3 linked regions of the Ovis aries genome follow. The protein of the gene in region 3 purifies or fractionates together with the protein of the main gene of each other region. This does not show direct contact. Links are inferred from orthologs where the notes say so. Each region holds a gene or a part of one and is shown on either strand. Other genes may lie near its edges. The genes, in order: BAG6, UBL4A and GET3.

Region 1 (4,852 bases), on a different chromosome or scaffold from region 3:
GTGCTTTACAACAGGTATGTACCAGGTGCTGAAGTATGTGGATGGGAGGCTTTCTCTCTCAAGTTGTTCACTGGAGAAACTATGCACACCGTCCAGAAAAGTCTGCTGACACACGAGTTCATTCACTTAATGTTTATTACTGCAAGAAGCTACAGAATCTAGTGGTTAGAGTATAGACAGTGGTGTCAAGCAGGGTGGGTCCAAACCCTTACTTTGGACAATTTTATTAATCTTGCCTGTTTTCTCATGTATAAAATGAGCAAATCATCAATCTCATAGGATTAGAAGAGCTAAGGCATATGAAGCCCTTAGCAAAGGCCTGCACATAAATCCAAAGTAAATATTCCCTATAATTAATAGCAATGTTTGTAAAGCACTTATTAGTCTCTCGTGGGTATTATGTTCTCAAGTAATAGGAAGTAGGCAAAGAATTGTCAAGAGGCAATCATTGGGTACTGCCAAGAAGATGGTACTTCCTGGATTATTTATAACCCACAGGCTGCCATAAAGATTTGTTCTGAGAGGTGAGGCTTGCTCTGCGCTTGCGATTTAGCTAAAGGAATAAAATTTGGGTGATGAATAGCTGAGGGTTCATTATATTTTTTAACAAAAAACTAAAATGCAAGCTATTGGGGCAGTAAAATAGAAGTGCTTGACCCAAGGGAGTCTGGTAGGCCTGATTTGTCAGTTCTGCCACTTACATGCACCTATATAAAGGGATGTAATAGATGTTGAAAGGCTATTAAATGTGACAGTATGTGAAACCCTCAGCAAACCGGCTGGCACCAACTAGGGGCTCACTATACATGTGCTTATTAAAACTTTCAGTACCGGGACTTAAGTAGAAGCTACAAATCCCAGAAAGGACAGGCACCGGAGGCAGGTACACCGGCAGCAACGGCTCTGGCTGGAGGAGTGGCAGCACTGAGGGGCCCAGGCCCTTGCCCGAGGGGCGGGGGGAGAAGAGGGCAGAGGGACGGTAACTATACCGGACCTTCCACCTGTAGAAGCCCTTAGGCGGCCCTCTCAATCCCCCAGGGTCAGAGTCTTGTGTTTCACTCCAGTCTGACCCCATGTTTCCAATTCCCAAACTCGGAGTCGTCCTTTTTAAGATAAAAGTCCTGAAAGGTCCTAAATCCTTGGTTTCTCCAAAACATGGCGTGTGCCCTCGGCCGCAACCGCCGGGGAAGAACATGGCGCCACAAAACGCCCACCGGGCAAAACCGAGGTCAGGCCCAACGACGCCACCGCACGTAAATCAGCTCGAGAACCACCTCCAACCGCCTATGGAAAGGGTGACTTCCGGAGACGCCGAAGGAGTGGCTCAACGAGGACGATGGTAAGAGAAGACAGGATTCTAGGTGGCCTGGACAGTGCCGCCTCAAATTCTCTGCCGACCAAGACTTCAGCATAGATTTGCGAGGCACAATCCCCAGCCTCCAGACTCCAAGATCCACACAACGGCTCAAAGCCTCTTTCGAGGCAGTGGAAGAGTCCCATCTCGTGTTTTTTATCAGGCATTTATAGCGGCCACCACAACCCCCCTATTGCTTAAGCGCGCGCAGGGGAGAACTGAACAGCGCCAGCTGTGGTGGGGAGGTGCCTAAGGGTGCACGCATGCGTAGTAGGACGCACGCAGGCGCAGTACGGTCCCCCGGGCGACGGCGGTGGCGGCGGCTCTTCGGGGTGCTCGGCTCCCTCCCATCTAGGCCGGCCCCGGCCCGTCTCGCCCCCAGGAACTCACTATTTGGGGCCGCGGACTTTCTGGAAAAGCCCCACAAAAGTAAAGCTTGGGGACCTGGGGGGAGCCGGAAGTACCGCCTCGCGATCCCCAAATACTATCGGGGAAACGGAAGTGGCCGTCGGTGGCAGGTTGGGGGAGACCGGAAGTGACGGTACCGTGGGGAAGTCGGGGGCGGAGCTGGGTGGTAGGGTGTGTGTGTATGTGTGTGTGTGTGTGTGTTTGGAGTGTGTGTATGTGTTTGGAGTGTGTTGGTTGTGCCTTTCTGATAGAACACCGAGGGTACGTGGAAGAGGGAGACAGCTCGCCGATCTAGCCCCCCGTGAGTGTTCGTCATTTCGGGTCTCTAGTGACTTAAGCGGGTTCGATGGGCGTGGCGTGGCGCGCGTGCGCGAAACCACTTTCTCCGCAGAGTCTAGCGCGACCCTCGCTCTCTGGTTGTCCCCTGGGTTTGCCGACTTCTCGAGCCCTTGTCCTACCGCGACCGGTGATGACACCGGTCTCGTGTTTCCTTCCTTCCCGTCTTCCTAGCTCTTCTGGCCCTCCCTTACTGTGATTGGCGTCGTTGAGCCCCTCCCACCTGCCGCCCTCCAGCTCCCCGTGCCGTCGATCTCTTACCCTTTGTGTTTCTCTCCCTGTGCCCCGGAATCAGAAGGGGGATGGGGGCGGGTGTGAGTGTGTGTGCTTGTGTGGGAGAAACTCTTTAGGCATGGGGCGGAGTCTCGGGCAGGGGAGGCTTCCGGGTATATAAAAATCTGCTCTAGGCGACAGCGGGCCTCCTCCTAACATTCTTCCTTAGAGAGCTGTCGGCCATGGAGCCCAGTGATAGTACCAGTACCACTATGGAGGATCCTGACAGCCTGGAGGTGCTGGTGAAGACCCTGGACTCTCAGACCCGGACCTTTATTGTGGGGGCCCAGGTGAGACCCCAGTACTTCTGGGAGACACTCATTAACTCTTCCTCTTACAGGTTCTTTGTACTGAAAGAAGAGCCTGATATTATGGTTTTCAAATTTTCTCTCATTGGTTCTTTTGTTCATGTTGTATCCAGAACATTTTCTGATGTTTCCTCTTTGGCTTTTGTTGGGTGAGGTAGATTTTCTTTGCCTTCCTCCACCTCGATAAAACTCAATGCAGAGGGAAAGAAAGAAGGAGGAATCTGTATGCCAACATGATAGATGAACCCCAGCCCAAAGGGACAGATGTGGCTCCTGCCTTTGGGAAGGCAAACAGAACACTAGGACCTAAAGTAGAAGAGTGTCTTAAAAACTGATGAGGTCTATGCTGTGTTTTTAAAGGATAGGAGTCGGATCCCATAATGCTCATAATGCAGGTAGATCCTTAATAGACAAAACCGTAAGGAGGTTGATCCATAGTTTTAAACACATTGTTTCGTGTATTTAATGAGACTGTGTAGGCTTTTGTGATTAGGTGTTTGTAAACAGCTGGATACTTCTCACAAGTCAGTTGTCTAGTTAGGAAAAATATTTTTCTGACTTTGCCCCTTTTTCTTCTTGCTTGAGTCTGCCTTCCTTAACCTGATTCTCTACCGCATCTTCTTTGTCATTGCTTTTATCTTTAAGGTTACAGTGTTGTATCATTTTGTGTTTGTGGAGGGGTCACCGGTATCTCTAGGCACACACATTCCTTTTGGAGCCAGGCAGAGAGGGAGAGAAGAGAATGTCAGTTGGTGTTTCTGGTCTTCAGCCCTGTAGTTTTCTCCTGGGCCTGTACCTGAAGTTCGTTACGTTTATTGTATGTATTTTGACAAGTGTTGCCCTAGTTCAGGGCTTTGCTCAATAATTACCTCACAATTAAGACAGGTGGGTAGTAATTTTAGGATGGGATGGTTTTTACCCCTTACAAGTCAGCTGTCCCCCTTCTGTCCTTTTTCTTCCACCCCCGATTCCTCGTCATGTTTCTTCTTCCCTACAGATGAACGTAAAGGAGTTTAAGGAACATATTGCTGCTTCTGTTAGCATCCCATCTGAGAAACAACGGCTTATCTACCAGGGACGAGTTCTGCAGGATGATAAGAAGCTCCAAGAATACAGTAAGGGGGTGGGGGAGGCAGAGCAGAGCTTGAGGCTGCTGTCCAGAGCAGTGAGCTGAGGCCAAGGGTTTCCCTGATCATGTAATGTTTTGGTGTGTATCTTTTTTCTGCAGATGTTGGGGGAAAGGTTATTCACCTTGTGGAACGGGCTCCTCCTCAGACTCAGCTCCCTTCTGGAGCATCTTCTGGAACAGGGTCCACCTCAGCCACCCATGGTGGGGGACCCACGCCTGGTACTCGGGGGCCTGGGGCCTCTGTTCATGACCGGAATGCCAACAGCTATGTCATGGTTGGAACCTTCAATCTTCCCGTAAGCTTGTGTTCCTCACGGGAGGGTTTTTGTGGGGTCAGTTTTGGTTGTGGTAGCAGCCAAGAGTTCATAAGAGAGGTGTGTCAGTCTTTAGAAGGGCTTTGGTGGGCTCTCTGGTCTGGTAACAGCCTCTGTCTTTGATAATCTAGAGGGGTCGGGCACCAGAGAATCAGTTGGAAGCGTGGGGGCCTTAGTATTTGGCTTCTCCCAGAGCAACTTCCCTTACCCTTTCCTCAGAGTGACGGCTCTGCTGTGGATGTTCACATCAACATGGAACAGGCCCCAATTCAGGTATCACAGGGCCTGGGAGGGTCAAGGAAGGGGATCTGGGAGAAGGAGGCCACAAAGTGGGGGATGGGTCTGGCTGAAGAGATGGGGCTGGGTCCTGGTTTAGTAGGTAATGGAGCTTGTGGCTTTGTCTCCAGCCTGACCTGATTTTCTCTCTCATTGTAGAGTGAGCCCCGAGTACGGCTGGTGATGGCTCAGCATATGATCAGGGATATACAGACCTTACTCTCCCGGATGGAGGTGAGTGGGCAAGGCTGGCCACTGCCTGTCTCACTCTATCCTCCCTACCCCTTTTGTCTCAGCCTAGGGATGACTGGTCACATCCACTGGGTTCTCCCCTCTTAATCTAATCTCTTTTCTGCAGTGTGTGCTCTTTTGGGCAGAAAAAGTATCTTTCTTTTGAGGCTGTCCTGTCCCTGCTGATTCTCTTTGCAATTAAAGAAGGATTCCTTGCCTTCCT
Region 2 (4,522 bases), on a different chromosome or scaffold from region 3:
CCCTTTCTTCGGTCATGCTCTCTGGGAAGTAATTTCATGCATCCTCGCAGTGTCTGGGACATTGTGTCCACAGGCCCTCCGGAATGTCGTGGAAAACTGCACAGGGCCGCGGAATCAGCCTGTCGGGCCTGTCAGCAAGGCACCTACTATACACCTGGGAGACACCACTCCTGTCTCCATGGGCAGCCTGAGCTCCCCGATGACTTTCTGCACCCAGCAGATGGCTCCTAGCTACCACAGGGTCATCACCTCCCAGTCGGGAGGCACACAAGACTCACCAGCTGTCTCTTGTGTCTGTCAACAAGACCCGTCTGCACGCGTCAGCTCTCCCCGAGGACCCGGCCTTCCTGAGAGTTGCCCTCTCCCTTCCACAGCCCACCCAAGCCCCTGATAAAATGATGGAGGCACCCGGTTCTAAGCATCCAAAAGGGACAGCGTTTATTTGTTGGGGCAGCTGAGGAGGAAGCTACGCTAGAGGACGGGAAGGTGCTCCGTGCTGGCTGTGACCGAGGGGTTCGGTGGAAGCTGCAGGCAGCCATCTTCTGATCCTGAGGTAGAGGCCTGGGATGAAGCAGACACTGCAGAGTGCAGAGGGGAGGTAGGAAGAAACTGGGTATTTGGGGAAATCATTTATCTGCTGCCAATACCCCTGGACTTCTCAGTTTCGCAAACCAATACCTTCTCTTTATTGCTTAAACCTATGTCCTGTAATGGTTAAATCAACGATGGGGAAACCAAAAGCAGTTCAACTAATAGAGTTCCTTTCAGGTCAAAGTCTCACATGCACCTCTAGTGTGACTGAGAAGGTCAATATAAAATTTCCTGACTACAAAGAAATGAGAGCGTAGGGAAGTCTATCACATGAACCTTGTGGCAGTGCATGCCCAGCTCCTGGGTGGAGCCATGGACTTCCACCTGCTCTTCAAAGCCTTTGGCCCTCGAGCCACTGTCTGTCCTCCCCACCTGGGGACCCAGCACTTACCCTATGAGGCTCAGGCCGGAGAGTGGCCCAGGTGCCCTCCTCTGAGGAGCAGGTGCCTAGACGATCTCTACGACCCACCCCCCAGCTTCTGCCCCCACCCAGGTTCCCTCTCAGACAGTGAGTGGTGTGCACAGTGGGAGGCCCTGTCCACATGTGGCAGAGGATGGGCAAAGGGTACAGGGGCCTGCTCGAGTCACCTCGAGACCATCACCTGTCATCTCTAAAGGTCATGGACCGCTTGTGTCTGGGAGGAGAAAAGAAGGGGGTGCCCAGAGAAAATCTGTGACACTAAGGGCCAGGACATTCCGTCTCTGGGCCACGCTTGGCCATCACTCAGAATTTGGCCTCAGTTTGTATCTGGGACACAGGAGTAGGATGCCTACAGACTCCTGACCCCAGGCTTTGGAGCTAAAGAAAACTAAGAGAGTCTCAAGAACAGCCCTCACTGAGCAGAGTTGAAGGCTGGGGACCAACGTGGCACCTACGTGTCACTCCCCAGAGTCGGGTGACATCCTAGACTCCCCAGCCCGCCTTCCGTTTGAGTGCATACTGGTTGCAGTCACTAAGGGGGCCCAAGGCTGGCCATCACCTGACCTCTTGCCAATGCCGGACCTGTCAAGGATGAGGTGACAGAACTGGGCATCAGGGGCTAGCTGCTTCCCCTTCCAGGCCTGGAAAAGGTATTGCTCGAGGGTTTCTCCTCAGTGGGCTAAACCTGGAATGTCCATGGCCACCCCTCAGAACCCGTCTGAACGACCCTTTTCTCCTTCTCACCCTGAAGTACTTCTGGAAGCTGGCTGGACTCAGAATCTGGCTCCTTGCCTTCTCCGCTAGGAGCCTCGGCTGTCTCACCTTTTGTGCAACATGTGGGAGCCAACCTGGGTCAAGAGCTTTGAGTGGGGCCTGGCACCTAACATGAGCCAGATACAGGTACCCGAGTACCCGCCAGGCAGTATTATGAGCCAAGTTGCAATACAAGAAGACATTTAATGCTACATGCAGCTTGTGGCCTGGCCAGGCTCCTCCCCACACTCCGAGAATCCTACTTGGAGAACCCCTTCTCCATAGCTTCAGTCGCTTCGGGGTGCAGGAAGCGGCCAGCCAAACGTTCAATGTCATCCAGCGTCAGGCGGCTCAGGGACCGCTCATAATCCTGAAGAGAGAAAGCCAGAAGGATTCAGGGGTGTGGCTTGGGGCGGGGGGGCCCGCTGGGACAGAGGCAGGTGGGCAGGATGCAGAGGTCCTGGGCCACGCTTCTCACCCTCTGGAGTTGATCCAGGACTCTGCTGGCATCGGCGGCGCTGAAGTGCTGGGCCAGGATTCTGGAAATGAGCGGCCAGGCGGCGGGCGGTGGGGCTGGGGCCTCGGCCGTTTTCCGCGCAGTGCTTTCTTCCAGCAACACCTTCTCCAGAGGTTTGACCACTAGGTTGAGCTTGGAATTCGGCCCGATGCTGTAATCGGAGAGTCTTTTCCCATCTGTCCGAAAGAGAGAGGGAGAGGGAGAGAGGGAGAGAGGGAGAGAGGGAGAGAGGGAGAGAGGGAGAGAGGGAGAGAGGGAGAGAGGGAGAGAGGGAGAGAGGGAGAGAGGGAGAGAGGGAGAGAGGGTCGCACTGACCCTCGGAGAGCCTAGGCGAAGCGCAGCGGTGAACTCCCGGGATGGGGGTGGGGGTCACCTAGCCAGAGCCCCCTCCACCTACACTGCTGCCCGGGCCTGGGCTGGACGCCCCGTCCCCTGGCTTCCCGCGGGTCTCCCCCAGCGTCCCCTCTTCCTGGTTACCTGCCAGGGCCTTGCCCTTGAACAGCAGCCGCTGTTGGCGGACGGGGATGTTCAGCTTTTCGGAGACCAGATGTTTCAGCGTGGACACCAGCTCGTCCTCCGACACCTGTCCCGGCCGAGAAAGGTGGGCGGGGGGTGAAGCCGCGGCCCGCGCGGAGGGTGGCTCTCCCGAGGCGGCTAGCCCGCCGGGTCCGTCCCTTCCCGCGGCTCGATCCCGCACCCGCGGGGCTGACCGCGCAACCCAGCCCGGCGATGCTACCTGAAGGCTGCACTCGCGGCCCTGGAGTGCCTTCACCGTCAGCTGCATGGCGGCCGCCGAGGCGTCCACTCGGGCCGGCGCGCACCCCAACGGTCCGCCGCCGCGCGCCGCCGCCCCGGGCGCGCGCCGGAACCGCCCGCCGCCGCCGGAAGCATCGCGAGGGGCGAGCCGGGCATCGCGGCCCCGCCCCGCCGGCCCCTCCCCCCACAACCTGGACTGTCCTCCGCGGAGCCCGGGGCGACGGAGCCCAGAAGCCCGCGGAGAGTGGAAAAGGGTGGCGGGACCAGTCGGGCTCGCTCGAAGGAGTTGGGGAGCTGGGCCCGGGGAGACGGCGGGCCGGGAGTTCGCGCGCCACCGCCCGTGGGCAGAGCAGGTCAACGCTGATGCCCATCCCATCCCCTGCCTCTCAGGAGCCTGCAGAAGACCCGGCCCCGCCGAGCTCGTTTCACCACCCGCCGGCCTCTTTTTTACTTCACCTGTGGAAAAGCAACTGAGCTTGGGATCTGGTGGGGGAGTCAGGCCTCTGCCCTTCCCACTGCTTCTTCTAGAACAGATACACAGCTCTCAGAGGTGATGCAGGGGCGAGGAAGGCTAAATCTGGCCAGAGGTCACTGTGTCGCCAAGCCAGCCCTCCATCCTGGCCCACACCTACCTGGCCACACCACGCCCTTCCTTCCCCGACCCGCAGGCCTCAGAGGGCAAAGACAGCATGATACCCAAGCTTGCTTCTGTTTTATTGAAATATATTTTCTGGGCAGTGCCCGCTTACAGAACTCAGCATGGCCTCTTTGGCACTGAAAGCTGGAGAATAAAAAACGAGTAAAAAAAATAAGCCTGGATTTTTTTTTTTTTCTGAGTGCATAGTGCATGAGAACTAAAGGCCTTTGGTACACAAGAATGGTGGGGACAGTTGATGGAGGTTGGGGGCTGGGGGTGCCTGGTGAAAGCTTGACCCGGGGGCCTCAGGGAACGGTGCACACGCTGCTATAGATAAAGTGGCCAATTACTAAGGCCAGCATCTCCGAGGTGCCACTAAGTGCCACAAGGAAAGGGGCCTGGGAGGCATAGTCAGCCTGGAGGCGGCGGAGGGACAGCTGCAGCATGGCCAAGGCCAGAAGGCTGTTCTGCACCCCAACCTCGATGCTGACAGTCCGCCGCTGGGCCACTGGCAGATTCAGGCATGTGGCCAGGCCGTAGCCCACCAGGAGGCCGACCAGGGGCACTGTGAAGCCCACCAACACGATGGGCAGCCTGACGCCTGCCAGGATGAAGACCCCCATGCGGTAGGCCAGGAAGAGGCCACCCAGGAGCAGCACAAAGCTGAAGGGCTTGATGACATGCAGCAGCAGCTGCGAGAACTTGGGGAGCTTGGACTTGATTACCACGCCTGCTGCAATGGGGATGGCAATGAACAGCAGGGTCCCCAGGATCTTGGAAACAGGCACATGGAGTGTTTCATGGATGCTGAGCAGGCGACTGTAGATGGCTGAGGACAGCGGCAGGA
Region 3 (4,692 bases):
TCCAATGGGCATTTGACAAGCCAGACAGTCCACCAGTGGGAGTATTAATGCCACATCTCCTTCCTCCTCAAACACCTTCTTTCCCAAGTGGCCCACAGTCTCTGCTGGGGCTTGTGCCTCAGTGAGAAAGTGAAGCCACTGGCCACCAACACCCTCATTTCACCCTAGAAAATGCCCCAGTCCTTCCTTCCAAGTCCCTGGTCCTGGCACCACAGCCCAAGTCCTGGGTCTGTGCACTGGAGCAAGCAGTTGCCCACCTGAGTCCCTTCCTCGGCTGGCATCCTTATTCCCTCCTGTAGCATCACTTGTCCCTTCCAGTTGAAGCTTTTTTTTTTTTTTTTTTTTTGGCCACACTGATCAGCTTCTGGGACCTTAGTTCCCAAATCAGGGGTTGAACCTGATCCTCAGTAAAGAGAGACCCCAGAGTTCTAACCACTGGACTGCCAGAGAATTCTCTGAAGCATTCGCATCAGCAAACACAGGTGCTCTTAAAATCTCCTTTCTCAGAAAAGCCTTCCTTAACTCTCATTCCCATTCCCCTCCAGAGATGGCCACGCTCATTTCTCTGCTCCCATCATGGTGATCCCTGTCTCCACTGTGGTTCACCCACTCCAGGCAGGCTTTTGCGCCCATTCCCAGGGTGATCTGCTTAAAACGGATGTGCCTGCCAGAGCCAACAATCTTTCTGCCCAAGTCCCTTTGTCCTCCTCGAGTTTAGGAGCCCATACTATCCTGCTTCCCTCCCACCTCACCTGGGGCTCCTCCTTGGCCTCTTTCACTGATTCTTCCTCTTCCCCTGCTGGACCCTAAATGTTGATATGCCCCTAGAGTTGTTTCTGAGCCTCTCTATTCTCTCACTCTTTCCTCCATTCACACAGCTTTAAATAAATATCACTCTTGGGACAATGACTCTCAATGCCAACCTCTTCCTCTAGGCTCATATAACTAAGCCACTGCTCTGATGTCTCCATTTGGATGACCAATGGGCACCTTGGTCTCACTAAGCCAAATAAAATTCCCCATTTTTGCCTTCTACACCTGCTCCTCTCCCAGTCTTCTCCATCTCAGTTGCCCAGGGAGTCAACTAAGAGATGTACTGAATTCATTTCTTTTCCTCATGCATTATAACCAAGCAGTCAAATTGCTTTAATTCCAAAATACATCCCAGGGATTTCCCTGGTGGTCCAGTGGTTAAGAATCTGCCTTCCAATGCAGGGGATGCAGACGCAATCCCCGGTCAGGGAACTAAGATCCCAGTGCCATGGGGCAACTAACCCCACATACTGCGACAGAAGCCCCTGTGTACGACAATGAAGACCCATCGAAGCCAAACTAATGAAAATAAATCCCAAATTTTACCACTTTCACCTCCCTCCCCACCAAGTTTTGGCTGCCACCATTTCTAGCCTGGGCACTGTCCCAGCTCTCTTTGCTTCCATTCTTGACTTTATAGTCCAATCTCTCCATGAAAGCTACAGGGAACTTTTTGAAAAATGATGTGTCCCATGACACTATTCTGCTTAAAACAAACAGGTTCCCATTAAACTTGGAATCAGGGACTTTCCTAGTGGTCCAGTGCCTAAGACTCCACCCTCCCAATGCAGGGGACCTGTATTCAACACCTGGTTGGGAAACTAGATCCCACATGCTGCAACTAAAGATTCTGTGTACTGCAACTAAGACCCAGCACTAAGGTGCAGAGCAACCAAATACATAATAAAAATAAATACAAAAATATATATAAATTTGGAAACAAAGCTTTACTCCCAGTGGCCTGCTAGGTCCTATTATTGATGTCTCCCTCCCCTCCCCTTGCTCACTCCAGCTACTCTGGTTTCCTTTCTGATCCACAAACGTCTCTCACCCAGTCCCCTATGGGTATGCTGAAGAGGAGAAAGTGGAAAGACAAGAGGCTGGAGAACCTGCAGGACCTGGTAGCTAATGGTGGGTGTTCACAGGAAAGGCCTGAAGGTGCCTTTGACAGAGTTGGGGGGTGGGGCGTGGGGTAGGCCTGAGCCCTATTGCACTCACCATGGCAAAGAGGTTGTCATAGCCTTTGACCTTGGTAGGCACCTTGGAGAACTTCTGGTCAAATGCATCGGAGATGTTGTGGGCTGGGTCGGTGGAGATGATTAGAACACTCTCCCGCCCCTTGGACAGCTGGACTGCTAGGCTGCAGCTGGGCAAAAGAAAGGTCAAAAGGTTGGGGGGGGGGTGAAGAGTCAGGCTCTGCTCCCTAGGTCTGCAAGGGGGAGATGAAGGGTCGCAGGAGCAGGGGACCTGGATCAGTAAGGGCCTTGAGAGAAGAGTATGGAGGACTGTGGGATCAGGCCTCAATCTCTGCAGTGGGACCCTCTCAGATCTCACCTACTGAACCTTCCACCTGGCTAAAGTGGTAAGATTCGGCTAAGTTTGTCAGTCTGGTGTGATGCCTGCTTCTTCGCTGGCACAGAGTGGCATCACGATCCGGCTGTCCAGTCAGCACAGCCTGACCCTGTGTCCGCTCCCTCAACGCTAAGCTAAGGGGTCCTTTGCACCTCTTGCTAAACTCGGTGGTTCGGTCCATTTGTCCAGGGTGATCTGCCCGGGGGATCCCTCCTCCTCCTCCCAGCTGACTGGGATAGCCTGATCATGTGCTCTCCCTCCCGCCTTCCACCCCCACGTGGGCAGAGAACGACAAGGTCCACCAGATTAGGATAGTTCGCTCAGGTGCCCCTCCCCTTCTCTGGGCACACTCTGGTACAGTCTACCTGATGGGGACATCTAAGTGCTCTCCCGGACCCCGTGCGCTGGATTCAACGTGGTTCAGCCCTTGAGCCCCAACAGGGATGGTCCAGTTCAGAGGGTGCCCGGCCGGCTTTCAGGAGGTATCTTCCACTTGCTCCAGATAACTTCTGGAGAGTACAATCCAGAAGACCCCGCCCCAGCCCTCTCGCCCGGCTGGTGCTGGAAGACCCGGTCTTTCGCCTCCCCTTCACCCTGTGGTACATCCCACCCGTTTTCCCGGCCCCCACCGCAGCCTCTTTACCTGCAGGTCGTCTTGCCAACTCCACCTTTGCCCCCAACGAAGATCCACTTAAGGCTGCGCTGCTCGATGATGTTGCTAAGCGTGGGCTCCAGCGGCTCCACATCAGGGGCATCCTCGAACTCCTCTGCCTCAACCCCCCACCCGGCCACCCCTGCCGCCATCTTGGAACCGGCTCACGTGATCAAGAGGAGCGCACCATGCAAAGCACCTGCAGGGGAAATTTCCTATCATATCCCCATCAAGGCTAGAAGGTTGAACTGATTTTCTCATAGCTTAACTTCTAGGAGCTAATAGAAGCTATATGTCCAATGTCTTCCCTTCCAAGCTTCATCATGTCAGCCTCTTGTCTACATTTTCTTCAAAGCGTCCCCCTGTCTAATTAATGCATTGGTACATCCCAGGATACTCCCCTTTACTGATTGGCCTTTAAGTCTAGCAGCACTCCTCTCATTGGCTACATCTTTTCTTACTTTCACCAATCACTCTCACGTCCCGGTAGCACCAACCTTCCCTTAGCAACCGACCAAACACCCATTCCATACCCTTTTCAAGAAGTTAGTTCCGAGGTCCACCCTGACCTGACTCCATAGGCTCAACTTCTTGTCGATCATTTCCCGCCCCTATTCTCCGAACTAGGTCCCAGCACCCCTCAGGTCCGTCTCTTCTGTTATTCAATTGGCTGGGAGCCATCGGGCTCCTGACGCAAACCAATCACAGACGAACCGATTAGTTTGCTGGAGACAGTTTCGGCGCTGCGAGTGGGTTAGAGAGAGAATTACTCCAGTTGGGGGCGAGGTCCGCAGATCCTTGTCCAGTGAGCCCTGAGCTCCTTTGCGGGCTTGCATCCTTGTTGTAGAAGGCACCCGATTCCCCAAAACCTGCTTCCACTTTACCCCAGGTTCGAAGGGAAACTTCAGTTCAGCCAATTCTGTTTGAAACTCTGCCCTGGGCAGGAATACATGCTTGGTCGCAGGCCCTTTTGAGGACACTATACCTTAGTTGGAGGCTCCAACCTAGAACTATCCGTGGCTTCATTTCGGTACTCTAGCACATAAAGAACTTCACAATCACTTTTCACTTTCATGCATTGGAGAAGGAAATGGCAACCCACTCCAGTGTTCTTGCGTGGAGAATCTCAGGGATGGGGGAGACTGGTGGGCTTCCGTCTATGCGGTCGCACAGAGTCGGACACAACTGAAGCGACTTAGCAGCAGCAGCACATAAAGTAATACCTTGATTTGCAGATATGAACCTCTCAGCTCCTTGGAGTGAGCTGTGTCTCTATTTCCAAATGAAAGCTCCATCCCAGAGATAGGTACCTAATCCAGAGACACCCCCATTTCTGTTCTCGGGGACCAGGCTAGATATGCCCTCTGGCTAGTTTTAGTTAGGGACCCAGGTTCCGAGGTTATCAGCTGAGCACACAGCCAAGCAACGTCTCTCCCCTCACTGAGATTATCCCTGGTGTCAGAAGGAGATTCTAGCCCCGAAAAGCTAGTACACCACCGAGTCCCACGCGGGAACCGCACTCCGAGAGCCAGCTACACACTCAGAACCAAACAATAGTCTCATTCCGGAAGAGACCATCTTTGCGTAACGCCAGCAGGAGCCTAGCAGGGTTATGATGTTCCGCCGGACCCGGCAGGGCGGGCCGGGGCAGCTGG

The links.
Region 1: the proteins of GET3 (region 3) and BAG6 purify together in Homo sapiens (co-immunoprecipitation; 5 studies listed by BioGRID and IntAct, with this or other methods). This does not show direct contact. The link is inferred for Ovis aries from reciprocal best matches to the Homo sapiens genes GET3 and BAG6.
Region 2: the proteins of GET3 (region 3) and UBL4A purify together in Homo sapiens (affinity purification with mass spectrometry; 4 studies listed by BioGRID and IntAct, with this or other methods). This does not show direct contact. The link is inferred for Ovis aries from reciprocal best matches to the Homo sapiens genes GET3 and UBL4A.

The regions. Positions count from the first base shown.
Region 1 is NC_056073.1:26,725,822-26,730,673, forward strand, and holds the start of BAG6 (large proline-rich protein BAG6), read left to right. Parts: upstream 1-1,641; 5' UTR 1,642-1,895; intron 1,896-1,900; exon of another isoform or gene 1,901-2,063; intron 2,064-2,124; exon of another isoform or gene 2,125-2,412; intron 2,413-2,540; 5' UTR 2,541-2,553; coding exon 2,554-2,661; intron 2,662-3,676; coding exon 3,677-3,794; intron 3,795-3,907; coding exon 3,908-4,104; intron 4,105-4,341; coding exon 4,342-4,395; intron 4,396-4,557; coding exon 4,558-4,632; intron 4,633-4,852. Other genes in the region: APOM (apolipoprotein M), read right to left, coding at 832-1,195. UniProt on the Homo sapiens protein: ATP-independent molecular chaperone preventing the aggregation of misfolded and hydrophobic patches-containing proteins.
Region 2 is NC_056080.1:79,953,688-79,958,209, reverse strand, and holds UBL4A (ubiquitin-like protein 4A), read right to left. Parts: upstream 3,110-4,522; 5' UTR 3,067-3,109; coding exon 3,019-3,066; intron 2,866-3,018; coding exon 2,760-2,865; intron 2,459-2,759; coding exon 2,244-2,458; intron 2,136-2,243; coding exon 2,029-2,135; coding exon of another isoform or gene 2,025-2,028; exon of another isoform or gene 1,595-2,024; coding exon 1,471-1,594; 3' UTR 1,468-1,470; exon of another isoform or gene 579-1,467; coding exon of another isoform or gene 467-578; 3' UTR 413-466; downstream 1-412. Other genes in the region: SLC10A3 (P3 protein), read right to left, coding at 3,981-4,522. UniProt on the Homo sapiens protein: As part of a cytosolic protein quality control complex, the BAG6/BAT3 complex, maintains misfolded and hydrophobic patches-containing proteins in a soluble state and participates in their proper delivery to the endoplasmic reticulum or alternatively can promote their sorting to the proteasome where they undergo degradation.
Region 3 is NC_056058.1:11,077,133-11,081,824, forward strand, and holds the start of GET3 (ATPase GET3), read right to left. Parts: upstream 3,204-4,692; 5' UTR 3,190-3,203; coding exon 3,029-3,189; intron 2,180-3,028; coding exon 2,032-2,179; intron 1-2,031.